Linked DNA regions of Lonchura striata. The protein of the gene in region 4 interacts with the protein of the main gene of each other region in a pairwise test. Links are inferred from orthologs where the notes say so. Each region holds a gene or a part of one and is shown on either strand. Other genes may lie near its edges. The genes, in order: CYTH1, CYTH3, CYTH2 and IPCEF1.

Region 1 (7,533 bases), on a different chromosome or scaffold from region 4:
CTCTGGTAGGGGAGCTCCAGCCGCAGGAGCCCACGCGCCAGCCCCAGCCAATCCCCGCCGCACCAGCACACCAGTCCGTGCCACCGCCGGAGCCACAGCGGGCGGCTTAAAGCCACTTGGAGGACACGGAGTTTCAGAACTTCCCAGCAGCCCCCCTGCCCAGGCTGCCTGCCCCCCGGCAGCTCCTTTGCCCCCGCGGGGGGCCAGCAGCAGTGTATTTTTAGAGTGGTTTTATCCCTCCGTATTAGAGCATTAAGCATCAGGAGCTGGCGGTCGCATAGCAACGAGCGCCGCATGAGGAAGGTGCACCCAGAGAAGCGCGGCGGTGCGAGCGTGGGGGTGCCACCACGGCCCCCGCTCCCCAGCCTGACCCAGCCCGACAGGCTCAGCCAGCCCTGTGCGCCAGCACGAGCAGACACCAAGCCCCGCTCATGCCCCAGAGGTACTGCCCACTCTGCCGCGGCCCTGGTGTGTGGGGGGCTCCTGCAGCAGGAATCAGGGGTCATGCCCCAGGATCTCAGGCTGGGGGGCAGCTCTGGAGCTGAGGAAATGAGCAACTCTCCCACCCCACAGGCGCTGAGCGAACCCCAAACCGGACTGACAGCTCCTTTCCTCAAAGCAGGAGCGATCTTGAGCACAGGGCATGGCCGTGAGTAACAAACCCCAGGGCCTGTCAGGGCAGGAGCAGCCCAACAGCTCCGCTCACCCGCCCCTGCATCCACTGGGATCGCTGAGCCAGGAGTAACTTGAGTAGGGCAGGCAGAAGCCCAGACCGGGCAGGCAGTGGGGAAGGGCACCCTGGCAGGCAGGAGCAGTTCCTGATCCCAGGAGCAGTGTGACTGAAGAGAGGAGGAGAGAGTGGAGAAGGGCAGCTGACAGGACTGTGAGAGCAGCCAGGCACTTGCTGATGTGACTGACCTTCTGCTTTCAACACCACTTCCCCTTTCCCAAGGGCCAGAGCAGCAGTTACCACATCACCAGAAGGCAAAAGGGCAAGCCAAGGGAGCTGGGGACACAGAGGAGGCTGAGCTGTGCACGTGCTGTACAGGTGCCTGCCTGGGCCTGGACTGGCACTGGAGAAACACCAGTGTGACACAGGCATGTGGGTGCTGCGACTGGGATGGGGTAGGGCCAGGTGGCATCTCCCACAAAGAGTGACCTGGATGCCTGGCTGGGTCCTTGCACCCTGTCCAGGCAAGGTGGGGTGTTTACAAACCATAGCTACAGCCCTGACATGACTGCAAGTGTCAGCAGCAGGGCTCACTGTTCTCTGCTCCAAACACCTCAGGAGAGGAACTGGGCAACTGCCTCTACCCAAGCCCCTGGCTCTGCTCTCTAAGCCTGGTGCTACCCCAGCACTGTCTTTGCTTGTGACCTGGGAGTCCATCCCTGAGTTCTGTGGAAGAGTTGCTCCCCAAGCTGGGCCCAGCAACTTGCCTAGGCTGACTCCACACTGTGCAAAGGAAGCACTGGGGCATCAGCAGCAGCTCCCCCAGGAGTGTTCCCTGGTGTCCAGGAATATGCCGTGGTCCCAGGATGGGACAGCCAAACCTGTACCAAAGGGCTGCCAGCACCCACTGGCAAAACAGGACTTTACAGGCTGGTGGCAAGGAGAGCAGTGACTACCTGGGTAAGGACCCCCTCAGCCAGCCTTCTGCAGACCTGTCACCCCACCCTCCTGGGGATCCCCCACACCTTGTACAGCCCACCCTGCCATCACACACCCATCCTGTCCCAGACAATAAGGCCCCCCAGGCACAAGCTGCTTTGCTGGAGGCTGCATCAACCCCACTTAGAGAAATCCCTTAATCCCTAGGCCAGAGTGAGCAGTAATCCCTTGGGTGCAGTGGGATTACCAGCACTGCCCAATCCCCATCTCCCTGGGGCCAGCCTGAGCCATGACAGGGCCCAGCTCAGGACACAGTGCTAGGACAGGACTGTGCTCCCCACATCCTCTCACCGGTGCTGCAGCTTGGCAAGGCAGGAGCAGCCAGGATGGTTCTCTGCCAGGATACCTCTTCCCCACAGTCCAGAGGCATTTGAGTCACACCACTGCTCTCGGTCAGTTCCGCTCTGGGATGGGTTCAGTTTTGCTGCTGTCCCCACGGGGAGATGCTGGGAAGGGGGTGGGAGTGCAGCCCCACGCCCTGGCAGGAGCAGGGAGAGCACACATCTGTGCTGCCAGCTGCTCACCTTGGGATTTGCTCTCTGCCGAGGCAGACTGAAAAGAGGCTGAAGAGGGGCCATGAGCCATGGGGCAGACACTGGCGTCAGCACAATGCCACCAGAAAGAGACTCCGCGTCGGCTCCCACCATGCTACAGCCTCGGCAGAATGTCCTTGGCTAAACCATGCTTATGGGCTTCAGGGCAGCTGTGGGTTGTGCTGCCCCCAGCACAGGAACAGTGGTGGGGGCTGGAGGCGGCGGTGCACTCCCTGTGGCTTCCGCCACAGAGTGAGCGGGACATTTCTAATGCTGAGATATGACCCGGGATGTCTTCCAGGTGATTCCAGGAAGCACTGGGAGGCTGTTGGCAGAACCGATCCCCACAGCGCTCTCCTGCTAATGGGTTGTATCGGACAACACCCGAGCCAGGCCGCAGCTGCCAGCACCTTCCTTATCTTACACAGTGAAGTCCTTGCAGCCGAGCACTGTCACTTCTGGGGTGGAACAGCAGCTCCTAATCGGCCGCACAGCTGGGCAGGAAACCGGCCGTGAACCGGCACTGCCGGCAGTAGCATTTTGCTGGCACCAGCTGCTCCCAGGAAGAATGGTCACCAGCACGGCTCCAGCACTGGGGCCATTGCCCGAGATTTCACCCAGACTCCAGTCTCCCCTCAGCAAAGGCCCTCCTCAAGAAAAACCACCTGCCGACACACGGGAACCTGCCCGGGAGAGATCAGGCACAGGCAGGGTCTCCCTGTCCAGTCCCGGTCCTCAGCACCGGGAGGGAAGGTACGCTCTGCGGGCACGGAGGGCAGAAGGAAGTGGGAGGAGAATGTACGGGCATGAGAAGGGAGACCTTGCACCCCCTGAGCCGCCGCGGCCCGCCCTGGGAGCGGGTCCAGGGCACACACCGGGAGCTCCCGAACCGGGGGCTGTGACATTCAGCAGGCACCATCGAGGCCAAGCCGCCCTGAGCTCTGCGGGGCCGGGACTCGGCAGTGCCGTGGGAGCACCGGAGCGAAGTGCGAGCGGCCGACGGAAGGCGTGCGGGCAGCGGGCCACGGAGCTCCCGCGGCAGTGGCGGCGCTCCGCGGGCCCGGGGAGGGCGGCCCCGCGCCGCGCCCGCCCCCCGCGCTGCCGCCGGGCACCAGGTGCCAGTTCCGCCCGGCGCTTCCTCCGCCGCCGCCCGCACGATGCCGCCAGGGCCGCTCTGTCACTTGCGGACGCAGGTCCCGCCGCCGCCAAATCCCCGCCCGTCCCGGAGCCACCGCCCCCGGTCCTGCACCTGGCAGCGGCCCGGCCCAAACGCGCCCCGCCCGGGAGAGTAGCCACCGCCCAGCGGGGACTACAGACTGCCCCGGCGCCTCGTCCCGGGCCAGGCGGGTGTCCCAGAGCCCCCCGCCCGCCCCCGGCCCGCACTGACCGCAGCCGCCGCCCTCCTCCTCCTCCATCCCGCCGCCGCCGCTCCGGCCCCGCCCGCGTGACGAGCGCGCCACGGCCGGCACCACGTGACCCGGGCGGGGCGGAGCCTCGCCGGCCCCGCCCCCTGCCGCCCGTCCCGGTGCCCCCGGCCCGCCCCGGTGATCCCCCAACCCCGCCCCGGTGAAACCCCCAACCCCGCCCCGGTGATCCCCCAACCCCGCCCCGGTGATCCCCCCAACCCCGTCCCGGTGCCCCCGGCCCGCCCCGGTGATCCCCCAACCCCGCCCCGGTGAAACCCCCAACCCCGCCCCGGTGATCCCCCCAACCCCGTCCCGGTGCCCCCGGCCCGCCCCGGTGAAACCCCCAACCCCGCCCCGGTGAAACCCCCAACCCCGCCCCGGTGATCCCCCCAACCCCGTCCCGGTGCCCCCGGCCCGCCCCGGTGAAACCCCCAACCCCGCCCCGGTGAAACCCCCAACCCCGCCCCGGTGATCCCCCCAACCCCGTCCCGGTGCCCCCGGCCCGCCCTGGTGAAACCCCCAACCCCGTCCCGGTGATCCCCCCCACAACCCCGCCCCGGTGATCCCCCCCCCAACCCCGTCCCGGTGAAATCCCCAACCCCACCCCAGTGATCCCCCCCAACCCCGTCCCGGTGATCCCCCCCCAACTCCGCCCCGGTGATCCCCCCAACCCCGTCCCGGTGAGCCCGCCCCGCTGCTTGCCCCTCGCCATCGCCGCCTATCATGACCGAGTGACAAAGACCGGGATTTATTCAATTCCATCCTTCAATGCCCGTAGCCACGGCGGCAGCACTCCGGCCCCGAAGGGATCCCCCGGTGCCCCCGCGCCAGCGCGGGGCCGGGCCGACAGGGGGCCGGGGGAGGCTTTCCATGCAGCTTGTGCAGGGGAGGGGGGTCATGGAGTGAGGGGAGTAGGGGAAGATGAGGGTCGGTGACGCTGGGAAGAGGAGGCACAGCAGCTCGGAGTGACAGGGATGGGCTTGAGGCACTTGCCACGAGCCCCCGCAGGGGTGGGCTGGGGCCTGAGGGGAAGAGGCACGGAGAAGCTGATGAGGCGCCCGGCCGAGGCAGGTTGGAGGGAAGGCAGAGTGGGCAGGCTCCTCTGCAGCTGGAAAGCAGCTCGCCGAAGGAAAAGGCACAACGCCAGGGCTGCGGCTGTATTCCCTCCCCTCTGAGTGTGCTCCACCAACAGCTCCCAGGACAGCGCTGCCCTTGGTCCTTGACCTGGGACTGCTCCCTGAGCAGTTGGGGATGCAGATCTCAACCTGTGAGGCAAAGAGCCCTGTCAGACCCCACCAGGCTGCTACCTCATCAGCCCCCAGGCTCACTGTGCCCCCCGGGTCACTCACCTTAGAGCCGGTGGCCCAGGCTGGCCATCTTGGCAGGATGTGACATCAACCAGAAGTTGCGCTTGTTCTGCAACTTCTGGAATGGATTTGAGTCTCTCCTCCGCTCCTGCTTCATCTTCTTAATTTTCTTTACCTGTGCAGAGGAGGAGTGTGCTCAGGTCAGACTGCAGAGGCCCTAGCCTCCCACCTGGCCCAGGCCAGCACCCACCTTTCCTTTGTCAAATTCCTGGTCCCAGTCATCGATGACGGTCTTGCTTTGGGCCAGTGCTGTGTCCCGAATTGCATCCTGGCTCACGGCCGAAATCTCACCCTGCCAGGTCAAGACTACAGAGCGGTGGAGTCAGAAGGACCAGGCTGTGCCACGCTGCACCTGGCCCCGCCCCAGGCCCAAGGCTGGAGCCCCTCGCTGCCCACCCTGTACCAGCCCCGTGGCCGGGTGTACCTGCCTGCTTCCAGGAGCACCCCTGCCTGCACTGGGGTGGGGGGAGCTCAGGCCCTGCAGAGCTGAGGGGACTCTGCCCCCATCCAGGCCTTAGGGCAGGGGGGCTCCATGCTGTTTGCCCACCCACATACCCACATGACCCTGGATTACCTTGCTTGCCATAAGCCCTGTCCAAGGAATTCTGGAGCAGCTTGTCCACCACGCTGGACTCCTGGCCCTCAGGGGCTGTGCCAGCCCAACTGCTGGCCATAGGGCTCAGGGCAGCCAGAGAGAGCCTCTCATCCCCAGTCTGGCTGTCGCTGGGATGTGCTGCCACTGTGGAAATAAGCACGGTGAGGATGAGCCAGGGGGAGCAAGGGCAGCTACCATGTCCCTCCCTCTCCAAAGCAGATCTCATCCCAGGAAACACCATTTGGACAGACAAGGTCCTGATGGCTGAGGGTGTCTGGGCACACAAATGCCTGTCCTGGGGGTCAGTCAAGGGGCCTGTTCCCACCTCCTCTTCCAGGGCATGTGCAAAGGCTCCAGGGCTGTCCCCCAGGAGCAGCAGGCAGGCCTGGGACAGGGCAGCCCAGGCCAGGGAGCAGGACACAGACACTGCCAGGCAGCTGCGGGACCAGCAAGCACTGGGGGTGGTACAGTAGTGCTCCAAGGGGGCTCCTGGGCAGACAAGCCACTGGCCTGACACTGCCAGGCACCAGACAGGGCACAGGGTCACACCTGGGGTAGTGGCAGTGGCGGTGGGAACAGTATCGGCAGCCAGGCTGCTGAGGCTTTCCATCCACTTGCGTTTGCGGTGCTTGTGCTCTCCAGCCTCCACACTCTGATGTGTCTTACAGGGCTCTGGTTCTCTTGTCCTGGAGCTGGGGAAGGCAGCAGGGTCAGCTCACACCAGCCAGACCACAGCAGGAGAGCCTGAGCTTCCAACAGAGCAATAGGGCAGAGACACCCGTGCTGCACCCAGGGAGAAGTGAACCCACCCACAGCAAACAGGTGCTTCAGCTGGATGCATGCTGAGGTGCATCCTACCTGCAGAAAGATGAGAAGCCCCTGACTCAGGGAGCCTGACCTCAGGCTCTCACATGCCCCTCGTCCCTCACCTGTCCGAAAGCAGCATCCCAGAGCTGCACTCTTCTGTCTTCTTCAAAAGCCTGTCTTTGCTTCTATTCTTCTTTTTCTTCTTCTTCCTCTTGAGGGGTAAAGTTGGCTCCATGCCCAGGCCAGTACTGGGCTCTGGCACATGTTGCTTGGGCCCACTCTTCATGTCCTGACAGACCAGGTCATGGCTGAGACCCTCACTGGCCACCTCCTTCCCCATGACAGCCACAAAGTCCCCTGGAGAGGCAACTTTCTTCTTGGGAGGCCTGGTGTCTTTATCAGTGAAGTCCTTCTGAGGGTCAGTGCTTTCTTTCTTGGGGAGCCTGGAGTCTTTGCCCTTGAAGACCTCTGGAGAAATAACTCTCTCCTTCTTGGGAGGACTGGAGACTTCATCCATGCCCTTCACAGCCACAGCACAAGGGCTCCTGTCTGCGCTACGATGCTTCCTCTTCCGACGCTTCTTTTTGAAGGAACCCTCTGGTTCCTCCTGGCCAGATCCTGTCTCCCTGCTGCTACAAAGAAGGTGGTGTGAAGTGTGGGCAGTGGAACCATGGGTCAGCAGGGAGGCCGGGTGCTGAGCAGGCAAGTTGAGCACGAAACTGAAGGCAGACTTTTCAGGATTGGGAAGTTAAAGAGCAGATGAGGACAGGCTGAAGGACAGGAGAAGAGGCTGATCCAAAAGCCTGGATGCCCCTCTCTTCCTCCCTCCCCTGAGGTGCAGAAGCACAACACCCAACTGCTGCCATCTTGGCCACGAAATGGGAATCAGAGGCTACTCTGCAAGCACTCACAGGTCCCACAGCAGACCAGGAAAGAGTGGGTGCTGCTGCAGCACATGCTGGTGGTGAAGACAACAAGGGACACCCAGAGCAAGATCTAGACCAGGCTGGTGCCTCCTGATCCCATGGGACATTAGTATGGGGTCAGGGCCTGCAAAGCTCCCTCCCACTCTGTGCTGAAGTCACCTCTTCTCAGATCTGGAGCAAGCCCTGCCAGCCCTGGAGAACAGAAAAGCTGGCTGCAAGGCCACACAGAT
Region 2 (7,664 bases), on a different chromosome or scaffold from region 4:
GCACTGACTTGTTTATACATTTTGACCTTTCACAGAGGATCACTCGCTCACTGTGTGACCACACCAAGAGCACTATTGAACGCGAGGGTCCTGGCCACTGGCACTGCCACCACCTGACTGTGAGCCTGTGAGAAAAGCCTCTCAAATCACACAAGATGTAGTTTTAAACCAAGTGGGGAGAGGGAGGAGGAGAAATTTCCTGCACTAAGCAAACCACAGAGATATTTTAATCAGGACACAAAAGAAAGTTGAGCCAAACACCAACTGACTCGGATCATATCACATCAATAATCCATGCACAGAGCCTCTGCTGAAGTCAATGGGAGGCTTGTGTGGAAGTGGATTGTATAATATAAATGCACGGCCCTGTTTAGGGCTCCACATACAAAAGAAAATGAGGTACTGAGAACAATTCCTTTAATTAGCACTTCTCTTCCACCGAGTGATTCTAAAATAATAAATTCTAACTTTACACAGTTCTGTTTTCATTCACAGTTTTTAACAGAGGTGGTAAAACAACTGACCCCATTTGACAAATAAGAGAACTGAAGCATAGGATGCAAATCAAACTGAAGAGCAGCGCAGCAGGCAGAGCTGAACTGGGAATAGCAGCTTACCTTCTGAATCACACTTTAATGTCCTAGATATTTACATGCTTATCTAGTTCAAGTCTCTAATTAGGGTGACTCTGTGCAGCCCTTAAATAATTTTGCATACTTCCTAAAGTACCTGTGCAGAGTGATAAGCTGTAAGAGCTTCCCATTCAATAATATCAAGTTTATGAGGATTAAGAATGTCCTGCAGAAGTTCAAAACACTGGGCTGCCCTGGTCAGGCTCCAAAGGGAGTCTCATTGCTCAGATATCACAAGTCTCATTACTCAACAGCAATAAAGACTTTTAAAACAGGCTGTCAAATCCATACGTATCCTGTCATCAAAGAAAAAAAAGGGGGGGAAACCCAAACAAAATAACAACTTGCCAATTCATTAGCTAGAAATTACCTAACTAATCCTGGTGTTCCAAAATGACAGCAATCCCTAAGAAAAAGCAAGACTGGGTCTCTATTCAAGAATAAAGTGCAATACTTACAAGAAGTCAGAGTAAAATGTCATATACACCAATTACAAAACAAAATTCCAGTCTTACTTGTCTGTGATTGTTTTACAACAATACACTGTACTGTAGTTTACCCCCAAAAAGCAATATGTTTATTAAAGTGATATCAGCTTCTCTTGCATGCTAGAGGTATAAATCAGGCTTCACATATAGAATCAGCATTCAGCTAAACACAGACGGTGTCGTCCCCAGGTCCTGACTATCTGTCGCCCTATGCAAATCCAACTTTGAAATGCTTAACATCTTATGGAAGATTAATTCAGCAATATGTCCACTTTCTAGTTTACATTTCGCACATGATTAAGTACTATATTACACACGGTAAGTGCAAATAACAAGCATGTTCATTTCCCTCAACTACAGATGCAAGTCCATAATACTGTGAAAATAACATATTTTGAGTTAAATGAGCTTTCTGCTCTTTGCAATTACAGTGTTCAACTGCTTTGAATAATAACTTTTCAAGACTGACTCGCTTTGTCTTTTGCTTTCCTTTTTCAGTTTTGTTTTAAGAGTTAAGTCTATCACTGTCAAAACAAGCAGAAATGCCTGCTGAGAAATGGCCACATTTCCAACCCACTGCTTGAAGAATTATTTTTCTGATTCATCATAGTATTATTTTTTCAAGTTGTCAAAACAAACACCACACCCTCTTGATTTCCGAGTTCTGGGTAATTATATTTAGAATTAACAAGTAGCACGCAACTATTAATCATACAATGCTTAGCCCTTAGTTTACCTATTTAGAGATCAGCCAACGCATTCAAAGGCCGCCTGTTTAGCATTTGGTTTAAGATATACCCTCGTCGCTCCGTTCTGCACCACCACGGCACAGACACACTGAATACAGGGCAGGCCATGCAGTCGGTCCCTCTGCCCCAGGGCAGGATCAGCTCCTGCTCAGCCACCATTATCGCTGATGATACACAAGAACTGGTTATTTCAGGCAGCAGCTTTACACACGCACTCACAAAACACATTATAAATTAAAGGAGGGAAGCGTGTGGCACGTCTGCAGTGCCTTAAACTGGGGCAGCGCACAAGCCTGTCTCCAAAAGATAAAATAATACAAATAAAAGCTTCCCCAACATGCGAGTCTGGATTTTCTAAAAGTAGTATCCAGCAAGGTTAACGCCGCTGCCTTTGGAAACAGTTCACCTTGTTTAAACTGGCTGAACCACCCCGTGATTATCACCGAGCCTCCATTAAGATGACACACACAAACAGAGCTCAATTACTCTTTTCTCCTCTCCTACACTGCCAGACGCGTACTTTTTCACATTTTGCCCCTTCCCCTCTGGCAGCGGAGGAGCAGCTGCAGCAGCGAGCACGGGGCTGTCACGGCGGCGGGGCCAGGACACGCCTGCCCTGCCTGCCTGCCCCGCCGCCCCCGGGAGCGCCCGGACCGCCGCGCCCCCGCCAGACCCTGCCCGGGCGCGGGACAGAGCCCCCATTGTGGCCCGCCCGGGCACTGCTCGGTAGCGCCGGCACGGCGGCTCGGCTCGGCTCGGGGGCGCCGGGCAGGACGGGGCAGCACCGGCGGCAGGGGCCGCGGCAGCTCGCAGGGGCTCCGGCCGTCCTGCCGCCCGCAGCGCGGGCTGAGGGGCCGCGCTCCCCCCCGCACGAGCCCCGCACTCACCGCCGCCACCTCCGCCACCCTCTTCGTCCATGTTGGGACCGCGGGCAGGGCGCTCCGCGGCGGCCGCGGCTCAGGGAGGCCCGGGGCTCGTTCCACCGGCTCGGCGCCTCGCGGCCGCTCCTGCTCCTTCTCTTTCTCCTTCTTCTCTTCTTCTTCCTCCTCCGCTGCTACTACCTCCGCCGCTGCGCTCCGCAGCCCCGTCCCTCCCAGCCCAGCCTCAGCCCCGGCGGCCGCCACCGCCTCGGCCCAGCCGCCCGCCCCTCTCATGTGACCCGCGGAGGGGAGGCGGCCCCGCCCGGCCCCTCCGCCGCCGCGGGGTCGCGGCCAGCGCCGCGCCGCCCGCTCCCCTCAGCGCCGCGCCGCCCGCTCCCTCAGCGCCGCGCCGCCCGCTCCCCTCAGCGCCGCGCCGCCCGCTCCCCTCAGCGCCGCGCCGCCCGCTCCCCTCAGCGCCGCGCCGCCCGATCCCTCAGCGCCGCGCCGCCCGCTCCCCTCAGCGCCGCGCCGCCCGCTCCCCTCAGCGCCGCGCCGCCCGCTCCCTCAGCGCCGCGCCGCCCGCTCCCCTCAGCGCCGCGCTGCCCGATCCCTCAGCGCCGCGCCGCCCGCTCCCTCAGCGCCGCGCCGCCCGCTCCCCTCAGCGCCGCGCCGCCCGCTCCCCTCAGCGCCGCGCCGCCCGCTCCCCTCAGCGCCGCGCCGCCCGATCCCTCAGCGCCGCGCCGCCCGCTCCCCTCAGCGCCGCGCTGCCCGCTCCCTCAGCGCCGCGGCCGAGCCCCGCTGGGAGCGGAGCCTCCCGCCTGCCCTTTGCGCTGTTTCCTCCCGGCACAGCCCGCACGGCGCGGCCCCGCAGCGCCGAGGCCTCGAAAGCGACTTGCCCGGGGGCTGCCGGGGTCACTGGGGCGGTCGGGAGCGACAGGAGCCTGGGCCGAGTCACTTGGGCTCATGCTGGCTGGGGTCGTGTTTTGGGGTCTTCATGAGCCAGAAAATGTCTGCAGAGCCCCTGACTATTTTTTGGAGGTCTAAAGACTCCTTTGGGCATTATAAACGGAAGCGGGAGGAGACTGGAAGGTGAGGGCTGAGATGGCCTGAAGCACCGTAATGAAGGGGGACGAGGTGGGTTGAAGTTTTTGGAAAAGAGCCCGAGACATCTGATGTTTCTGCATGTTTTTTGCTGGTTCTTGCTTGCTCTTTGTTTTTGTGTCCGGTGCTGGGTGCTCCCCTTGCCACAGTGGTCATGGAGAGCCTGGTGCAGAAATGGGACTGTGCCCCATGGGCAGTGCAGGGGCTTGCGTTGGTGAGCGTTGTCTGTGTGGGTAACAGAAATTATTCTCCTGCTTACTGCCCTAGGAGCCAGAGCATCTGTGGGATTTCTTTAGTCTTCAGTAAAGATCTTCAGTGAGTTACCTACCATGGGAGTCGGGATATCAGCAGCTTCCAAAGTCATAAAGGTAAGCTGAAGTGTACTGGCGCACATCACTCTTCCTTCCTTCCTTCCTTCTTTCCTTCCTTGGCACCGCCCCTTATTATTTTTTAAAAAACGTTCATGTCAAAATTTTATTCAGAAAGGAAGCTGTGGGAGGAAAAGGTCAGCCAACAGGAAAATATCAGGTTTTTCATTTTCCTTTTGTAGGCTGGCATGGGACAGAGCACCGTCTAGGATGCTGTGTCAGGAGCAGTCACCTCTTGACACTGCTGCTAATAGGTGGTTATTACAGCCCATTTTGCTGAGAGCTGAGGTTTGGCTCTGACAGCTGCTCTGGTGATAAAGTGCTTTACCTCATCTAAAAATCATAAACCTTTAAAATACTCCTCTTTGTCTTTCATATTTGAAATTAAATGTTGTTACAAGTTTAGTAAGTTAGTTATAAAAAGGATATGATTACATAAAACAGAAGTGTCACCTTGGTAAGAGATTGATTTTGAAATTATGTCAATAAAGTGCCATTAAAGGATGGTTTAAAATAAGTCTTAATGCAGATGAACTGACAGTGGGCTCTGAATATTTTTGCACACTGAGCAAACTGTTCATTTACATTAGTGGGGAATCTGGTTCATGAGAAAAATTCTAATTTTATAATCAATCACAGATTGTTTGCTTTCATTTAATTTATGCTGTTTTACACCTTTATATAAAGTATATGTTTTTATGTTCTTGTTTCTGTTTTTTTGCCATCCATCCATCCATCCATCCATCCATCCATCCCTCACTTGGTTTCAAGGAAAATTCTAGTCCAAAATAAAAAAGCCTAATCACTAATTCTAATAGCAGGGGAGAGTGAAGTGTGGAGAACAGTCCTCCTTCCACCCATTCAGTGCAAAATTCCTGTTGACTTCATGGAAGCAAAACTAGTTTTAAAACTCTCCAAATTAATATCAAAGTGAAAAATTATTTTGTTATGCAAGAAAGATATGAAAAATGTCTGTCCTAATTACAAGTGACCAGTTGCAATATTTTATAGAAACTTCTTGGTGAAATCCAATTCCAAACTCATGAGGTATGGAAAACTCTCTTTATTATACTCATGATAAACTTGAACAGAGAAATTTTCAGTGTTTTGTTGAATATATAGCTTACTATGTTGGAACTCTAGATTAGATGTCATTTAATACCTTCTCAAGAAGAATCTGTTCTTTCCAGTCCTGCTTTAGTAGAATGACTTATTAATGATACATAGTACAAAAGAGTACTAAAATTATAGTGTTCTCTCCAAGGCTGTGTGTCTTTGAAAGGATGACAGATATTCCTTAAAACATTTTCATTCATACTGTGTGTATCACAAATACACTTACTTTTGTATGGGCCCAATCTTACAAGTGTTCTAAACACAAAACTGTTAATTCTGTGTACAAGGTGCTTTAGTGGACAAAGCTGTTCAATCTGTAGGTGAGAGGTGTCACAGAAACTTTTAAGATCAAACATTTCACTCTGTTGCCTCATTTTCCTGTGTATAAAGTAAAGCTCATGTCTGGCTGTAAACCTAACTAGGTCAGGAGTAGATTTTTGGAAAATGTGTAAAATCAAGTAAAGAATTACACTCACAGTTCTACATTGTAGCTAGAGCAGTTCTACCATAGCAGAACTCCTTCCTGGTTTTTGGCAATTGAACAGTAACAGCATTGCTGTCATTAAATATGGGGTAGTTCCTTACCAACAAAGATGCCAGGAACAATACAGGTTACAATCACAGCAAATTCCAAGACAAACTCCAATCAATTATTTCCTGCTTGTGTGAATAATTTTGTCGCATCTAATTTTGATCATTCTTCTGTTTTGAAGTACGTATGAATTTTAAATTTTTTCTTCATATTATTGAGACTTCCAATCAATAGTTTTCTCGGGATTGCTTGAATTTTTTTTTTTTTTCAGTGTCTTCTGTAGTCTTAGGTCTATTTTTACCACCAGTATCTTTTGCCAGTTTCATATCCACAAGTCTAACCTTCTGTGTTGGAAGCACTATGTAGTCTGTCATTCATGTAAATAATAGTCTAATAGCAGGTCTGTTTATATTATTTTTAGTGGAAAATTGGGCTTTCTCCAAAACCTCCTGTTGGCAGCATTGATTCCTCAATGATAAATGTGGTTACTAGCTGAATTTTCAGGTAATATGCTTTGCCTTTTTTTTTTTTTTTTTTTTTTTTTTTTTTTTGTCCCTCTTTGGGTAGTTCAGTAACTGTTCTGTTTCAGTTTCCACTAAGAAGTAATTTATCATGTCATTTTTCATTTTAAGGGTTGAGGAGCACATCTGTTATGGCATTTGTCCCTATACAAATGTCAGTGTCAGTGAGTCAGTGAAGACAACTGAAACTATTACATCACATTTTTGTGGTCTATAAAGCTCATTGAATATTAAGCCATTCCTGTGGGTTTCAGTTTGAACCAGATTCCAAGAGCAGTGAATGAAAATAAAATTTTTACTATTATAGATTTCATAAAGTTTTTATTTATAATCAAGAACATGAGCTATGAGGATGTTCATAGTAGCATTGTATTCAAGTATAATAAATAAAATTCCGAATTTTCTCAGTGCAGAAAGAAGTGACTGTTGGGCCATCAGACTGCATGTCAGTATCAGCCGCAGGGAGATGGAATAATGCTCCTTACTGTTGGAAGGAAGACTCACCTCCATGCAGGTATTCCTGTTTCTTGTGTAGGCAAGACATCACTAATTTGCAAGTCTGGCTTTGTGTGATTTCTGTTAGATTGGGTGAGATGGACAGTTACCGTGAAGGAAAAAGCTCATCTTGGAGACATGAACATCTATGCAGTCTTAATAAATACATTCTTAGAGCATATAGATCTATACCAAAAATAGAGACACATCTTAAACAATACAAATGTTGTGCAGTGTTTTATAATCTAGAATTGATTGGTTGATTTTGCAACTTGCTCACATAGTTGTCTCCCATTTTTAGGAAAATAGTGCAAGCATTACATTTTCTAAAACATCATATTGTTGATAGAATCACTGTCATTGATACCCAGCCATTGATTTTGTTTCAAATCTAGACAGTCAAACAGTTTTTATTTTTTAAGAAGCATTGCTTAATAGTTTCAATGCAGGAAAATCTTAGACCATCAGTTTGTCCTTTTTCTTCCCCAAGTTGTTTTTTTTTTTGGGTTTTTTTTTTCCAAATTTATCAGTACTTGAATAATCTGGTATTCTTAAACCCCTCAGGCAAAGTCTTTGACTTCCTCTGCCTGGCAAATGGGTTTCAGCCATGTATTGTTTCTTAAAATGTTTATGTTGTCACACTCATCCTATTTTTCTCAGGTGGAAAAACATTTTTGTAGAAAATCCTGTTTGCTGGTTGTCTCAAAGGTTTTAAAAATGCTTGTACCTTTCATTTAGGCCAAAAAAATTTTACATGAAGGTATTTTATATTGCTTTCGGGAACATCAAAGCTAAAGCTTAG
Region 3 (7,744 bases), on a different chromosome or scaffold from region 4:
GGTTAAAAATGGGGATTTTGGGGGGAATTTTTGGGAATCCTGGGGAATATTTTGGGAGTTTTTGGGGAATTTGGGACAAAATTTGGGGAATTTTGGGGTCAAAACTGGGAATTTTCGGGAATATTTTTGGGACTTTTGGGTTAAAAAATGGGAATTTTTGGGAATTTGGGGAAAATTTTGGGGAATTTGAGGGGAAATTTTGGAGATTTTTTTGGGACTATTTTGGGGCTATTTTAGGAATATTTTGGGGATAATTTGGACTATTTTTGGGAATATTTCTGGGGCTATTTTCGGGATGTTTCAGGAATTTTTTGGGAACATTTTGGGCTGTTTTGGGGAATATTTAGGGAGTAATTTTGGGGATTTTTTGGGGATATTTTGGGAATTGTTTGGGCCATTTTTGGGATATTTTTGGGAATATTTTGGGAGTATTTTAGGAATACTTTGGGCAATTTTTTGGAGTATTTTGGGAATTTTTTTTTTACATTTTGGGAATATTTTGGGGCTATTTTGGGATATTTTTGGGGAAATTTTGGGGATACTCTGGGCTATTTTGGGGATATTTTGGGGATATTTTGGGGATATTTTGGGAACATTTTGGGGTTATTTAGGGATATTTTTGAGGATATTTTGGGGATATCTTGGGCTATTTTTGGCAATATTTTGGGAATATTTTGGGGATACTTTGGGCTATTTTTGTGACTATTTCCGGGATATTTTGGGGATATTTTGGGAACATTTTGGGGATATTTTGGGGATATTTTGGGAACATTTTGGGGATATTTTGGGGATATTTTGGGGATATTTTGGGAACATTTTGGGGATATTTTGGGGCTATTTCAGGGATATTTTGGGGCTATTTCAGGGATATTTTGGGAATATTTGGGGAATATTTCAGGAACATTTTGGGGCTGTTTCGGGAACATTTTGGGGATATTTTGGGAACATTTTGGGGCTGTTTTGGGAACATTTTGGGAACATTTTGGGGATATTTCGGGAACATTTTGGGAACATTTTGGGAACATTTTGGGAACATTTTGGGGCTGTTTCGGGAACATTTTGGGAACATTTTGGGGCTATTTCAGGGATATTTTGGGAACATTTTGGGGCTGTTTCGGGAACATTTTGGGGACATTTCAGGGATATTTTGGGGCTGTTTCGGGAGCATGCCAGGGCGCCCCCACCTGCCCTCGCTGGCCTCCAGCCCCTCGACCTCGCTGATGGCCTCGCTGAGCTCGTCCCGCAGGCGCCGGATCTCCCCCAGCAGCTCCTGCTTCCGGCGCCGGATGGACTCCAGCTCCCGCCGCTCCTCGGGGGACAGGTCCGGGGGCACTGCGGGCACGGCGGGCACGGCTGGCACACCTGGGCACACCTGACACACCTGGGCACACCTGGGCACACCCACAGCCACCCCCCAGCAGCTCCTGCTTCCGGCGCCGGATGGACTCCAGCTCCCGCCGCTCCTCGGGGGACAGGTCCGGGGGCACTGCGGGCACGGCGGGCACGGCTGGCACACCTGGCACAGCTGGGCACACCTGGGCACAGCTGGGTACCACCCTGGGCACACCTGGACACAGCTGAGCACACCTGGGCACACCTGAGCACACCTGGGCACACCTGGGTACCACCCTGGGTACACCTGAGCATCACCCTGGGCACACCTGAGCACACCTGGGCACACCTGAGCACACCTGGGCACACCTGGGCACCACCCTGGGTACACCTGGGCACACCTGGGCACAGCTGGGCACACCTGAGCACACCTGGGCACACCTGGGCACACCTGGGCACCACCCTGGGTACACCTGGGCACACCTGGGCACACCTGGGCACACCTGGGCACATCTGGGCACCACCCTGGGCACACCTGGGCACACCTGGGCACACCTGGGCACCACCCTGGGTACACCTAAGCACACCTGACACACCTGGGCACACCTGGGCACACCTGAGCACCACCCTGGGTACACCTGGGCACCACCCTGGATACACCTGAGCACTCCTGGGTACACCTGGGCACACCTGGGCACCACCCTGGGTACACCTGGGCACCACCCTGGATACACCTGAGCACTCCTGGGTACACCTGAGCACACCTGGCACACCTGAGCACACCTGGGCACACCTGGGCACACCTGGGCACACCTGGGCACAGCTGGACACACCTGGGCACACCTGGGTACCACCCTGGGTACACCTGAGCATCACCCTGGGCACACCTGAGCACACCTGGGCACACCTGACACACCTGGGCACACCTGGGCACAGCTGGGCACACCTGGGCACAGTTGGGCACACCTGGGCACCACCCTGGGTACACCTTGGTACTGCCCTGCACACCTGAGCTCACCTGAGTGCATCCCTGGCGCACCTGGGCACACCTGGGCACAGCCCTGGCACACCTGGGCACACTCACAGCTTCATGACCACGCCCACATCACACCTGGGCACACCTGGGCACCTCCCTGGCCACGCCCACATCTTCAAGGCCACGCCCATTTCACACCTGCCCCTCATTTCCTTGGCCACGCCCCTTCCCAGTCAAGCCCCGCCCCCTCAATTAAGCCTTCAGCGTAAAGAAGAGGGCGTGGTCTGGCCCAAAGGGGCGTGGCCATCACTAATACATATTGGTACGTGCAGAGGGCGTGGTCTAATTTGCATATGCAGTTAGGGCGTGGTTTAGCGAAAGGGGCGTGGCCTATTCATAAAGAGGTGTGGCCCACAGGGGGCGTGGCCCATTCAAAAGGGGCGTGGCCACCAGATGAATGGCCTCGCCCCCACTGATTGGCCCCGCCCACCCACGTGACCCACGCCCCGCTTTCCCGCCGCGCCCGCCACGTGACCGCCCCTCGCCGCGCCATTGGCCCGCGCCTCACGAACCCCCCCCCCCCCCCCCCCCCAGGGCCAGTTCCCGCTCCGCTCCTTCCCCGCCGCCATTGCCGCCATGGCCGCCATTGCCGCCATGGCCGCCCCGCCGCCCTCACCGTACACGCCGTCCTCCATGGCGGCCCCGGGCCGGCCCCGCCGCCGCCGCCGCTCCGCCCCGCCGGGCCCGCGGCCGCTCCGCCAATCAGCGCCGCGCCCGCCCCGCGGCCGCTCCGCCAATCAGCGCCGCGCCCGCCCTGAGCGACGGGCCGCGCGGCCAATGGGAGCGGGGGGACGGCGGGACCGAGCGCCGCGCGGGGAGCGCGCGCGGCGGGGGATTGACAGAGCGCTCGGCCAATCGGGAGACAGCGAGGCGGGGCGGCGGGGGGTGACTGTGATTGACAGCGGAGCCGGCCAATAGCGAGGGGGATTGGGGAAGGAGGCGGGACTTGCGTGTTGAGCCGCGCTTGTTGATGTTAATGAAGCTCATGAATATTAATTGTGTGCCCTGAGGGCCTTTCCCGGCCCCAAATGGCCCCAAATTGCCACAAAATGGCCCCAAATTGCCACAAAATGACCTCAAATTTCCAAAAAGCGACCCCACACTGTTCCCAAATCCCCCAATTTCCCCTAAAATGACCCCGAATTCCCAAAATTCTCACGAAATTACCCCAAGATGGTTCCAAATCGCCACAAAATTACCCCAAAATGGCCCCAAAGCCCTCAAATTCCCCAAATGGCCACAAAATTACCCCAAATTCCCCAAATTCTCACAAAGTGATCCCAAAATGGCGCCAAAATTCCCCCAAATTCCCCCAAATTCCTATAAAATGGCCCCCAATTCCCCAAATTTCAAAAAAAATTCCCCAAAATGGCCCAAAATTCCCCAAACTCCCACAAAATGATCCCACAATTCCCCTGAATTCCCATCAAGTGGCCCCAAATTCCCCAAATTTCCCCAATTCCAAAAAAAAAAATCCCCAAACTTCCTCCAAATTCCCACAGAATTCCACAAAATGTCCCCAAAATTCCCTGAGTTTCCCTAAAATGGCCTCAAACTCCCCAAAATTCCCCAAATTTCCCCGAAATTCCCACAGAATTCCCCAAAATGTCCCCAAAATTCCCCAAATTTCCCCCAAATTCCCACAGAATTCCCCAAAACGTCACTGAAATTTCCGAAATTCCCCCCAAATTCCCACAGAATTCCCCAAATTTCCCCCAAATTCTGCCCGAATTCCCCAAAACGTCCCAAAATCCCCCAAAATTCCCGGAATTCCCCAAATTCCGCCGTTTTCACGCGCGTTTTTTTATTGGAAAGAGCGAAATTCCCGTAAAAATTTGCATGCGGGGGGCGGGGCCTGCGCGGGGGGCGGGGCTTAAAGAAAGGGGGCGTGGCCTCATCCAGGGTGCTGTGGGGGCGTGGCCTGAGCAGAAAGGGGCGGAGTTTGATTGGGCGGGGCAGAAAGGGGCGGGGTTTGATTGGGCGGGGCAGAAAGGGGCGGAGTTTGATTGGGCGGGGCAGAAAGGGGCGGGGCTTGGTTGGGCGGCGGTTGATTGGGTGGGGCAGAAAGGGGCGGGATTTGATTGGGTGGGGCAGAAAGGGGCGGGGTTTGATTGGGTGGGGCAGAAAGGGGCGGGGCTTGGCCAAGGGGGCGTGGCCGGGGGGGCTCCCGATGATCCCAGCCCCCCCCACCCGCCCGGGGTCATGGGGAAGGGGAAACTGAGGCACGCTGGGCCAAACTGGGCCAAACTGGGCCAAGGAAACTGGGACAAACTGGGCCAAACTGGGCCAAACTGGGCCAGGGAAACTGGGACAAACTGGGCCAAACTGGGACAAACTGGGCCAGAGAAATTGGGACAAACAGGGCCAAACTGGGACAAACTGGGCCAGGGAAACTGGGACAAACTGGGCCAGAGAAATTGGGACAAACGGGGACAAACTGGGCCAGGGAAACTGGGACAAACTGGGCCAGGGAATTTGGGACAAACTGGGCCAAACTGGGCCAGGGAACTGGGAGTTACTGGGCCAAACTGGTCCAGGGAAAATGGGGGAAACTGGTCCCGTATAAGGCAGGGAACTGGTCTGGACTGGTCCAAACTGGTTCAGGGAATTACTGCGCCAAACTGGTCCAGGGAACTGGGAGTTAATGGGCCAAACGGGGACAAACTGGGCCAGGGAAATTGGGCCAAACAGGTCCAAACTGGTCCAAACTGGTCCAGGGAACTGGGGGACACTGGGCCAAACTGGCCTGGGGAAGTTGGGCCAAACTGGTCCAAACTGGGACAAACTGGGCCAAACTGGTCCGGGGAAATTGGGGGTTACTGGGCCAAACTGGTCCAGACTGGTCTAGGGAAATTGGGTCAAACTGGTCCAAACTGGTCCAAACTGGTCCGTACTGGTCCGTACTGGTCCGTACTGGTCCAAACTGGTGGGGGCACCCCGGGGGTCCCAGCCCCCCCCTTTAAGGCACTGGGACCCCCCGGGGGTGGGGGGGAGGGGCAAAATGGGGCAAAAAATGGGGAAAAAGGGGAAAAAAGGGAAAAACGAGAAAAAAGGGGGAAAAAAGGGGGAAAAAAGGCCAAAAATTGTTCAAAAAAAGTGGGGAAAAAAAGGACAAGAAAAGGACAAAAAAGTCAAAAAATAACAGAAAAACCCAAAAAATGATCAAAAAAAGCAAAAAAAAAAAAAAAAAGTCAAAAAATGGGGGAATGGGAAAAAAAGGGAAAAACGGGGAAAGAAGGGGAAAAAAGGGAATTTTGGGATCCCCCAGGGAGGGGAAATTTGGGCAATTCCATCCAAAAAATGACGATTTTGGGGCTCCAAAAAATTGACGATTTTTGGCACCCGGATTTTGGGGTCCTGAGGGGGATTTTGGGGGATCCCCGTGAATTTGGGGTGAATTTTGGGTAAATCTGAAAAGTGAATTTTGGGGGATTTTTGGGGTGATTTTGGGTGAATTTTGGGTGATTTTGGATGAATTTTGTGGTGAATTTGGGATAATTTTGGGATAATTTCGCGCTGATTTTGGGATAATTTTGGGATAATTTCGGGCCGATTTTGGATGAATTTTGGGGTGAATTGGGGATAATTTTGGGATAATTTTGGGCTGATTTTGGGCTGATTTTGGGGTGAATTTGTGCTGATTTCGGGCTGAATTTGGGGCCGATTTTGGGGTGTATTTGGGAAAATTTTGGGATGAAAGCAGGATAATTTTGGGATAATTTCGGGCCAATTTCGGGGTGAATTTGGGATAATTTCGGGATGGGGCCGATTTGGGGCCGATTTCGGGGTGAATTCGGGATAATTTTGGGCTGATTTTGGGGTGAATTCGGGATAATTTGGGGCCGATTTGGGGCCGATTTGGGACCGATTTTGGGGTGATTTCGGGATAATTTCGGGCTGATTTTGGGATAATTTGGGGCCGATTTGGGGCCGGTTTGGGGCCGATTTTGGGGTGAATTTGGGATAATTTCGGGATAATTTGGGGCCGGTTTGGGGCCGATTTGGGACCGATTTTGGGGTGATTTCGGGATAATTTCGGGCTGATTTTGGGATAATTTCGGGATAATTTTAGGCTGATTTGGGGCCAATTTTGGGCCGATTTGGGACCGATTTTGGGGTGAATTCGGGATAATTTTGGGATAATTTCGGGATAATTTGGGGCCGGTTTGGGGCCGATTTTGGGGTGAATTCCGGCCGGTTTGGGGCCGGTTTTGGGGTGAATTCCGGCCGGTTTGGGGCCCCCTAGACCGGCGTGGTTCTCCGGTTGAGGGTCCCGCTCCCGCCCCCCCCCGCCGTCTCCGCCCCTCCCCCCCCCGCCAGCGCCAGGAAGGCGCCGGGGCCGGGTGGGGGAGGGGCGCCGGGGGTGCCGGGGGGGGGCGGGGCGGGCTGGGGGAGGGGCGGGGCGTGCGGCGGCCCCTCCCCCCCCGGCCGAGGGTGAAGAGGGAGATCTCGGCGGGGGGGGGGAGGGGCGGCGGGGGGGGGCTCGCGGCTTTCCCGCGGCTTTGCTGGGAGGGGTGGGGGAGGGGCGGCGGGGGAGGGGGTGGGGGAGGGGGAGGGGGGGAGGGGTCGCGCGACTTGGCGCTGGAGCGCGAGCCCGAGCGCGAGCGGCGGCGCGCGGGGGGGGGGCGGGGCCGGGCGGCGCGGGGGGGAGGGGGCGGGGGGGGAGGGGCGCGGGGCGGGGGGGGAGGGGCGGCGCGGTGCCGCTCGATGTACAGGTTGACGGCCAGGACGCCGATGGCCTCGGCCAGGATGAACGAGACGCCGCCGAAGTAGAAGCTCCAGCCGTAGCTGTAGGGGGAGGGGCGGCGCTCCCCTCCCCCCCCGCCCGCCCCTCCCCCGCCCCCGCCCCCCGCCCCTCCCCCCACCCCCCGTACCGGGGGGAGGGGACCCCGCCCGCGCCCACCCCCCCCGCCGAGCCCTCGCCCGAGTTGGCCGAGATGTAAACGATGACGCCGACGATGTTGGACAGGCCTGGCAGCGAAGGGGTTAAATGGCTCGTTAATGGGGGGGGGAATTAATTAAAGAGCTAAAAAAGGGGAGAAATTAAAAAAAAAATGGGAAAAATGTAAAGGAAATGATTAAAAAATGGGAATGATGGAAAGGATGGTGGCGGCGATGTTGGACAGGCCTGGCAGCGAAGGGGTTAAATGATTCGTTAATGGGGGGGAAATTAATTAAAGAGGTAAAAATGGGGAGAAATTAAAAAAAAAATGGGAAAAAAATGGGGAAAAATGTAAAGGAAATGATTAAAAAAGGGGAATGATGGAAAGGATGGCGGCGACGATGTTGGACAGGCCTGGCAGCGAAGGGGTTAAATGATTCGTTAATGGGGGGGGGAATTAATTAAAGAGGTAAAAAAGGGGAGAAATTAAAAAA
Region 4 (6,967 bases):
AAAGCCTTTCTGCACTGCTTTTTCTATTCTGCTGCTCTTTAGACCCTTTCAACTGTACTAATAAGTACAATGCAGAATAATTAAATCCCTGACCCATTACACTCAGGAAGTTAAAACTAGAAGACAAGGCTTGATAAAAAAATCTTACTATCTAACTAGGTAAGACAGACTGCAATAAAGGTATAGATCATTAAAAAAGCAGAAAAAAGCTTCTTCACTAACATTAATATAAATAAAATAGCCAAAGAAAAATAGATACATCCTAAATGTAGAAAACTACAGATGTAGCAGCAGGGAATATGCGTGGGCTTTTCTGCAAAAAACTGTTCCACCCGGTCATATGTCTGTCCCACTCCTGACCTGAGAGTTTTTTCAGCACTAAACAGCCCTTCATTACCAGTGAGCTTCAGTAGGCAAACATGTAAATTAGGTGTTAAGTTTACAACATGAACAGCACAAAAGAAAATGAGTTACCATTTTTTGGCTGGTGACTGAGGCAACAAATCTCACAGTTCACCTCCTTATTTCAAATGGGGAGCAGGAGACACAGAAGCTACCAAGTCTGAAGGACCCCCAACCCTAGCACATATCCTATGTCTTCTCCCATGAAGAACTGCTTGAAATATAACTTATAATAAACAAATCATGCCTAAAATGTTCATAAAGCATTATTACTTTAAAATAAAAACACTTTATAACTTAATTGCAATATATATTGCCTCTTCAATCCTCTTAATGTAGTTTTAACTTACCAGAAATTTAGAGAGATCTCAGGAAAACCATAAAGTTTGTACACATGAAGCAATAGGTTCTCCCCCACCCAGGAGACTCCTTTCTGTCTTCCTTTTTTCCTCCCCCACCCAAGCCCTGAATACAGGAAGAGAGATCACCAGCTGCCTGCTGAAGAAAACAACTACCAAATAGTGTGCATCATTCAGATGGCTTGGATGATTCAGCTTTTCCATGTGAACTTTAAGTGGCACAAATGGTGCTTTGTGCATTTCTGAATCAAGAGTGTATTTAATAGTCCAAGAGCATAACACAATTTCTACTTGAAGAAAAACTTTTCATCTTAAACACAGCAGTATATGTTACCTTACAATGGCTCCAGTTCTCAAACCAGTCAATAATTACATCTATCTGTGTTTATGGTATTGCAGCATCTTCAGCCTTTAAAAATACATTTTCTATTGTTCTCAAAAGTTGAACTGAGTAGGACAGTGAAAAGAGGATCTAGTGACGAGCTTACAGTTTTGAAAACCACCTGATATGATGTGCATTGGTTTGAGAGTGGGAGGGCTGGGAAGGAACAGAAAACCCAGGCGTAGCAAGCAGTCTGCTCTCCCAAAGCACAGCAGCACAATAATAGAGCAGCTGCTTGATCATAAGCACCCCACAGTTACCTGCAGCTCATTGTCCAGAAATTTGTAGGAGAATAATATTAGAAGTTTCCAGACAGTAGACTCAGATATGAAACCCCACACAAATGTAAAACACATACACATTTACTTTGTGTAGTTTTTGTTTAGCACTGCTCAGATAAAGAATTAGTGCCTGGTTTTACTTGTCTAGTTTTTTTGGCCTTTATTAATTGTTCAAATGTTCACTTGCATCTTCATCAACAAGACCCTGTTTTCATTTCACCCTTTCAATCATAAATCAGAAACGGCTCTCATCAACCAATAAGATTTGACACAAAAAGTAGAAGGAACCTAGTGCTCAGACCTAGTGCTGAGGACAGAACATCTTGCCCAACAAAACCTGTTTAATTACTGGGAGAATTTCTTATTTATGCTCAAGTACAAAAGCAGCACAAGCATGTTGAACACAACACTGCCTTCTGCAGGCACCCAAGTGTGACAATGCCAAAACTGCCTGAGGTGCTCAGCAAGGGCACCTTGAGCAAAGGGAGAAAACAGCAACAGACTGAAGAGACCACTCATCACCGGAGATCACTGAAGACCTAGAGAAAAACAACAGAAATGTTGCTTGGTCTGTGCTTTCAACAATGGAACCAAGCCTTTGGGTTCCTGTAGTGTGCCATCTTCCACTAGGGCAGCACCCAGAATTTTGTCTTAGGGGTGCAAACTAGGCAACAGTACTGGAAAGCAACCAGAGAACAACGTTTTGGCAGCATCTCTTCTCCCACAAATATCTCTTGTATGGTTTTTGTGATTTTATTACTGACTTTCACTTTATTTTAAAACATAGGCATGTTATCCACATCCAATACAAAAAGCTTGTATCAAACTAATCGGGGTGATAAAATTCTCGCCTTACAGTTCCTTCCCTGAGACAACGCTGCCAGAGTCAGCCTCACCAGCCAAGATGTCTCTCTACATGAACAGCAAATACTCCACGAGACCAGAGGGTGTCCAAAATCCTCTGTATTTTGAAAACACACCAAATACTTCATTGCAAACTAGATGAAAAATCCACCATTGCAGGAGTGACCTGTGGGAGAAGTCATGCACTTTGGTATCCATGTGTGATTCACGTTTTTTGTACTTCAGACTTCTGGTGATTGTTTTCATTCCCTGACATTTCTTGATAGGGAGAAAGATAGCAGGAGTACTTCTCATCACAGCTTCCCTCATCATGACACCTCCCCTGCTTTGGTCAGCCACTGGGAAATGAGTCATGATGCCGAAACCTGAGCCTCTTCCACATCTTTCTAAAGCCTTATTTCCCACACAGACCACATGCATTGCAAGCACAGCAGCCAGCCACGGTCAGTAGCAGGTCAAATGCATTTCCTGTGACCAGATTCACCCAAGTGTGAGCACCCCAGGGTATCTGCCTCACTGCCTCTCCCAGACAGCCGCATCTCACTTGTCCCCTTTGCTTTAGTAAAGGTCTCTCGGTGAGCACTAGCTGAAACATGCCTGTGGCACACCAGGAGCTCCTATGCTGCCAAACCTTTTTTGTTTTTAGATTATGGCTCCCTCATAACACTGTGAGACACACCATGTCACTCCACAATGTTCCCACACTTTCACAGGAAAACCAACTTTGCAAATCATGTACTTTGCCCCATTAGCCTTTTAATCGAGGCCTGTCACTCATATCCTGAGCATGGGGTGGGGAAGAGAGGGGCTGCTGCTTTAGCTGATGGGTAGGAAGGGCAGGAGGTCCACATCCCTATCTCCAGTGCAACCTATGAATCCAGCGTTACAAAACTCTGAAAGAGAAAAAAACAGACCCTTTCTTCCTATCCAGTGATAAGCTGATGTTTCTGGACCAAGGACTGCTTGGGGTGGTCTAAGTAAGTTCAAAGCAGAGTCTAAGCCAATAGCTTACTAAGCAGAGAGGAATTCTTATACGAATCAAGAACTTGGAAATGTTTTGTGGACAGTACTATTTTTTGCTGGAAGGCTCTAGTGAAAACTATCTTGGACATCAAAACAAACTGATTATGCTATAAATATTAAAGACTTTACAGCTGTTTGTTTGTGAAATAAATTTTTGAAAAGTCCCTTAGCCTTAATATAGGGAGGAAAAGGTCAGAGAGCAAAGACATAGTAAAAGGGAAATAATTAATTTAGGACATCATTTATTTCGCTCTCATCCTACTCAATTACAGGAATTTATACCAACTGTCCCCCAGAAACCAGTGGTCAAGAAATATGCCAGACAATATTAAGACTTCTGCATGTTCAATGGGACATTCAGTGACGTGTGAGAGTTTTAGCTAAAACTGTGTTACACCTAAGAAAGCCTTTGATCACATTCTGTGGAAATACATTCAAACACCACAGCTGCACTTCAAGAATCTACAATAAGTGTACTACAGCCTTCATTTTCTACTGTCATGTAATAAAATCAAACAAATCACCCAAAATGCAGCCACTAAAGTTTGGCTGATCTTATACCTACATGAAAATCCTCAGTTTAGTTATTATTCATGAACTTGTTATTCACAAGGCAGAAAATGTTTTTTCTTATGTTTTGCTAATGAAGTTTTGTTTGGTTGGAGCTCTTTTACAGTTTACAGATTAAAATTTTATGGCTCATTTATGACTACTTGGCATTATGAACATTTTCACTGGAAATATGGGAGGATTTCATTAGGAACATTGGTAATGAAAACAGCTAATGGGGGATGAAAGAGGAAAACACATTAATAAGTAGCACTGAGAAGCATGCAGTTACTTGGGGAAAAAAAATAACATTAAATACATGGTCAAAACATTGAATATATTTTTAGACTGTAACATATTGTCTCTCAGTAAATATTGCCCAAACAAAAAAGCCTCTAAGCAAAGGTCACAAGGCTCCTCACCTGCAAAGGCACTCCCAGAGCACATCTAAACACGTGGTGGCGGAGCACCATCAGTCAGCACAGCCCAGTGATCCATCAGAATCTTGTCAGGTTTGCTCCACAGGTACATTTCAACAATTCCTGCTCTGGCTCACTTGCACTCTAAAAGGGCTACACTTACCAAGGAGGGTGTGGACTCTCAGAAACAATCAACCAAAAAACCAAAGAAGCCCAAGCAACTACCCCTCTCAGCTGAAGATACAGTAAACTGGACTTCCTGTCCTCTGATTCCTTGGTTGCTGTCTGGCATAGGGAACATTCACCCTCACCAGAGAACAAACAGAAACCACAATCATAAATTGACCCTAAGGATTTTCCCTGTAGCTCAGAACTCTCTGGCACTTATTTTATGCTTAATTACTCTGTCTCCATACTCTGTTAATCAATCATGTAATTGTCTAACATATCTTTACCCTCTCCTAAAAAACCAAACTGGATAACTCCATAACCACTTAAGGGAGAAAGTCAGTGGCTTACATCATCCTGAATAACTGAGATGACCACACAGGGAGGTTTAAAAAGAAATGTTTACATCTATTCTATGTCATACTAAAACAAACACATTTCTCCCACTGGCAGGAACTGGAGGACACCCAAAGGTCTGGGGTTTTTTCCTCCACTGAGTATGCAATCCTCATTTTTTCTTCCACTGGCAAAGTATGTGCAATAGACAACTCTTGCCTGTTTCAAATCTAGTATGTATTTAAAAAAAAATCCCAACTCTTAAGTGATGTTAGAGCAGTAACATTGTTTTTAAATTTGACTTTCCACTTTTGGACAAAGTCCAGAATAACCCAAACTACACTTTTGGACCACTGCACAAGGCCCCCTGGGAATAACACAACCTTACCAGCAATTACTATCACAAAGACAGACAAAACTGATGGTTAGGGACTCGCATTGTGCAGGCAACAGGATAAAGAGAGGTTGCTATTTTAAACTGATGCAGCTGAAGCACAGGCAGCAGAATTTGGTGAAATTACACACTGACAGCAGCTCTTGACTGCTTTTGTCAATATATATTGCAGCTCAAGTGTGGTGTGTGGAACTACACATAACTGCTTTGAAAGACTGCCCTTGTTTCATATTCTAGCATCATACAAAAGTAGTGGTAGAAATAAATGTGCATGCTGCAGTTGTGTCGGGTGCTTTCTTTGCAGAGTTACTGTCACTCAGCTGAAGCAGCATTCGACACAACACAGACCCACACATTTAACTTAGCCTGACCCCTCTTTTTTCATTCTCCAAACTGAGTTTTTTGGAGTGCTCTTTAGACATCTTAAGTGAATCACAGAATATGCTGAGTTAAGTCAGTGGCTTCATCAAGAGTTCTTGTCCATTATAAAAACCTCACAGCCTGCAAGGAGACAAAAGCATTCCTATGTGACAGCCACAAAGAGCATGTGCTCCATAACCACAGTATGTGCAAAGCAAAGCTCAGGCTTTACAGAGAAGAAAGAAGTCACAGTTGTACATCAGGACAAAGATTACTCCAAAGGACACAACAGTTCTTTCCAATTGCCCACGACCATTTCTATCCCACACTTCAGGATGGTGCACTAGATGTATGGTGGAAATTAGGGGATGAATATTTCAGTGCAGAAAACTCAAGCAGAAGCCAACATTCACACTCCTCTGAAATACCAATCCTGCTGGCAAAGGCATTTCTGAGAATGTATGAGCACAAAAGCCTTTCTGCCTGTGTAAGATATTCCAAAAATTGAATTATGAAGGCAGGAAAGCTCCTAGGAAAGTAAAACTTGAAAAAAAAAAAAAAAAAAAAGGGGTTGAGCTGAATTCATTGAGATCTAAGTTAAAGAGTTAAAGCCTGATGACAGGTTTAACTTGGTCTATTCAGGATGTGATTGCAGATATAAAGCAGTTTGTGAAGACTGCCTGGTGCAGTGTAATAAAACAGGATGCAAGATTTGGACTAAAGAAACATTTTTGCAAGAAGAAAATTCTTTATCCTCTCCAACTTAAAAGCTTGTCTTTACCATCTGTTTCCTGGTTTGGTTAAATTTTGGATTTTTACTCCCTCTCCTTTCTGTTCGAGCACCAAGACTATGGAGCATGTTGCTTGTAAAACAAGCCCTGCTTATGAGGAAGGAAAAGTTATCAGTTCATTGATTAACACAAAATTAGTAAAATGCTCTCAGTAGTGTGTTCACCTCTGTTAGTCATCCAGAATTCAAACACTGATTAATTTAATTGTCCATAATACCAGAGGAAACACATGGCTTGGAGAATTGCCCTGCACTCTGTCTCTACAAGCCATTAGTGCTCATTTTCATGTCTTATTTCCTCTCACACATTACAATCCAAAATAGGACTTTTTTTTTTGCAATGGTTATGTAAGAGAAACCAAAGGCATTGGCTTTCACATATTCTACAGACTTTAACAGAAGCCTGCTCAATATTTCAAAAGTGCATGATCCCCACTACATATATATATATGCATGAGTACTAAATATTATTTTCCATTTTTGTGGGGTTGATGATCTTTTCCAATTACCTGCATTGTTTTTCCACCATAACAGTGTATTCAGAGTATTGTGGAGTACTGTACTATGGCAGGACATCTGGAAATGTACATGATACTTATTAGGGAAATCAGCCTAGATATAGTTTTTCATTGGATAGATA

The links.
Region 1: the proteins of IPCEF1 (region 4) and CYTH1 interact in binary tests that used the Homo sapiens proteins (3 or more experiments, as listed by UniProt). The link is inferred for Lonchura striata from reciprocal best matches to the Homo sapiens genes IPCEF1 and CYTH1.
Region 2: the proteins of IPCEF1 (region 4) and CYTH3 interact in binary tests that used the Homo sapiens proteins (3 or more experiments, as listed by UniProt). The link is inferred for Lonchura striata from reciprocal best matches to the Homo sapiens genes IPCEF1 and CYTH3.
Region 3: the proteins of IPCEF1 (region 4) and CYTH2 interact in binary tests that used the Homo sapiens proteins (3 or more experiments, as listed by UniProt). The link is inferred for Lonchura striata from reciprocal best matches to the Homo sapiens genes IPCEF1 and CYTH2.

Annotation. Positions count from the first base shown.
Region 1 is NC_134621.1:11,768,622-11,776,154, reverse strand, and holds the start of CYTH1 (cytohesin-1), read right to left. Parts: upstream 3,007-7,533; 5' UTR 1-3,006. Other genes in the region: USP36 (ubiquitin carboxyl-terminal hydrolase 36), read right to left, coding at 4,959-5,090, 5,166-5,281, 5,550-5,714, 6,120-6,262, 6,500-7,009. UniProt on the Homo sapiens protein: Promotes guanine-nucleotide exchange on ARF1, ARF5 and ARF6. Promotes the activation of ARF factors through replacement of GDP with GTP.
Region 2 is NC_134618.1:10,893,734-10,901,397, reverse strand, and holds the start of CYTH3 (cytohesin-3), read right to left. Parts: upstream 3,010-7,664; 5' UTR 2,788-3,009; coding exon 2,757-2,787; intron 2,529-2,756; exon of another isoform or gene 1,857-2,528; intron 1-1,856. UniProt on the Homo sapiens protein: Promotes guanine-nucleotide exchange on ARF1 and ARF6. Promotes the activation of ARF factors through replacement of GDP with GTP. Plays a role in the epithelial polarization.
Region 3 is NC_134640.1:2,541,254-2,548,997, forward strand, and holds the start of CYTH2 (cytohesin-2), read right to left. Parts: upstream 3,004-7,744; coding exon 2,985-3,003; intron 1,333-2,984; coding exon 1,185-1,332; intron 1-1,184. UniProt on the Homo sapiens protein: Acts as a guanine-nucleotide exchange factor (GEF). Promotes guanine-nucleotide exchange on ARF1, ARF3 and ARF6. Activates ARF factors through replacement of GDP with GTP.
Region 4 is NC_134605.1:55,582,936-55,589,902, reverse strand, and holds the start of IPCEF1 (interactor protein for cytohesin exchange factors 1), read right to left. Parts: upstream 3,006-6,967; 5' UTR 753-3,005; intron 1-752. UniProt on the Homo sapiens protein: Enhances the promotion of guanine-nucleotide exchange by PSCD2 on ARF6 in a concentration-dependent manner.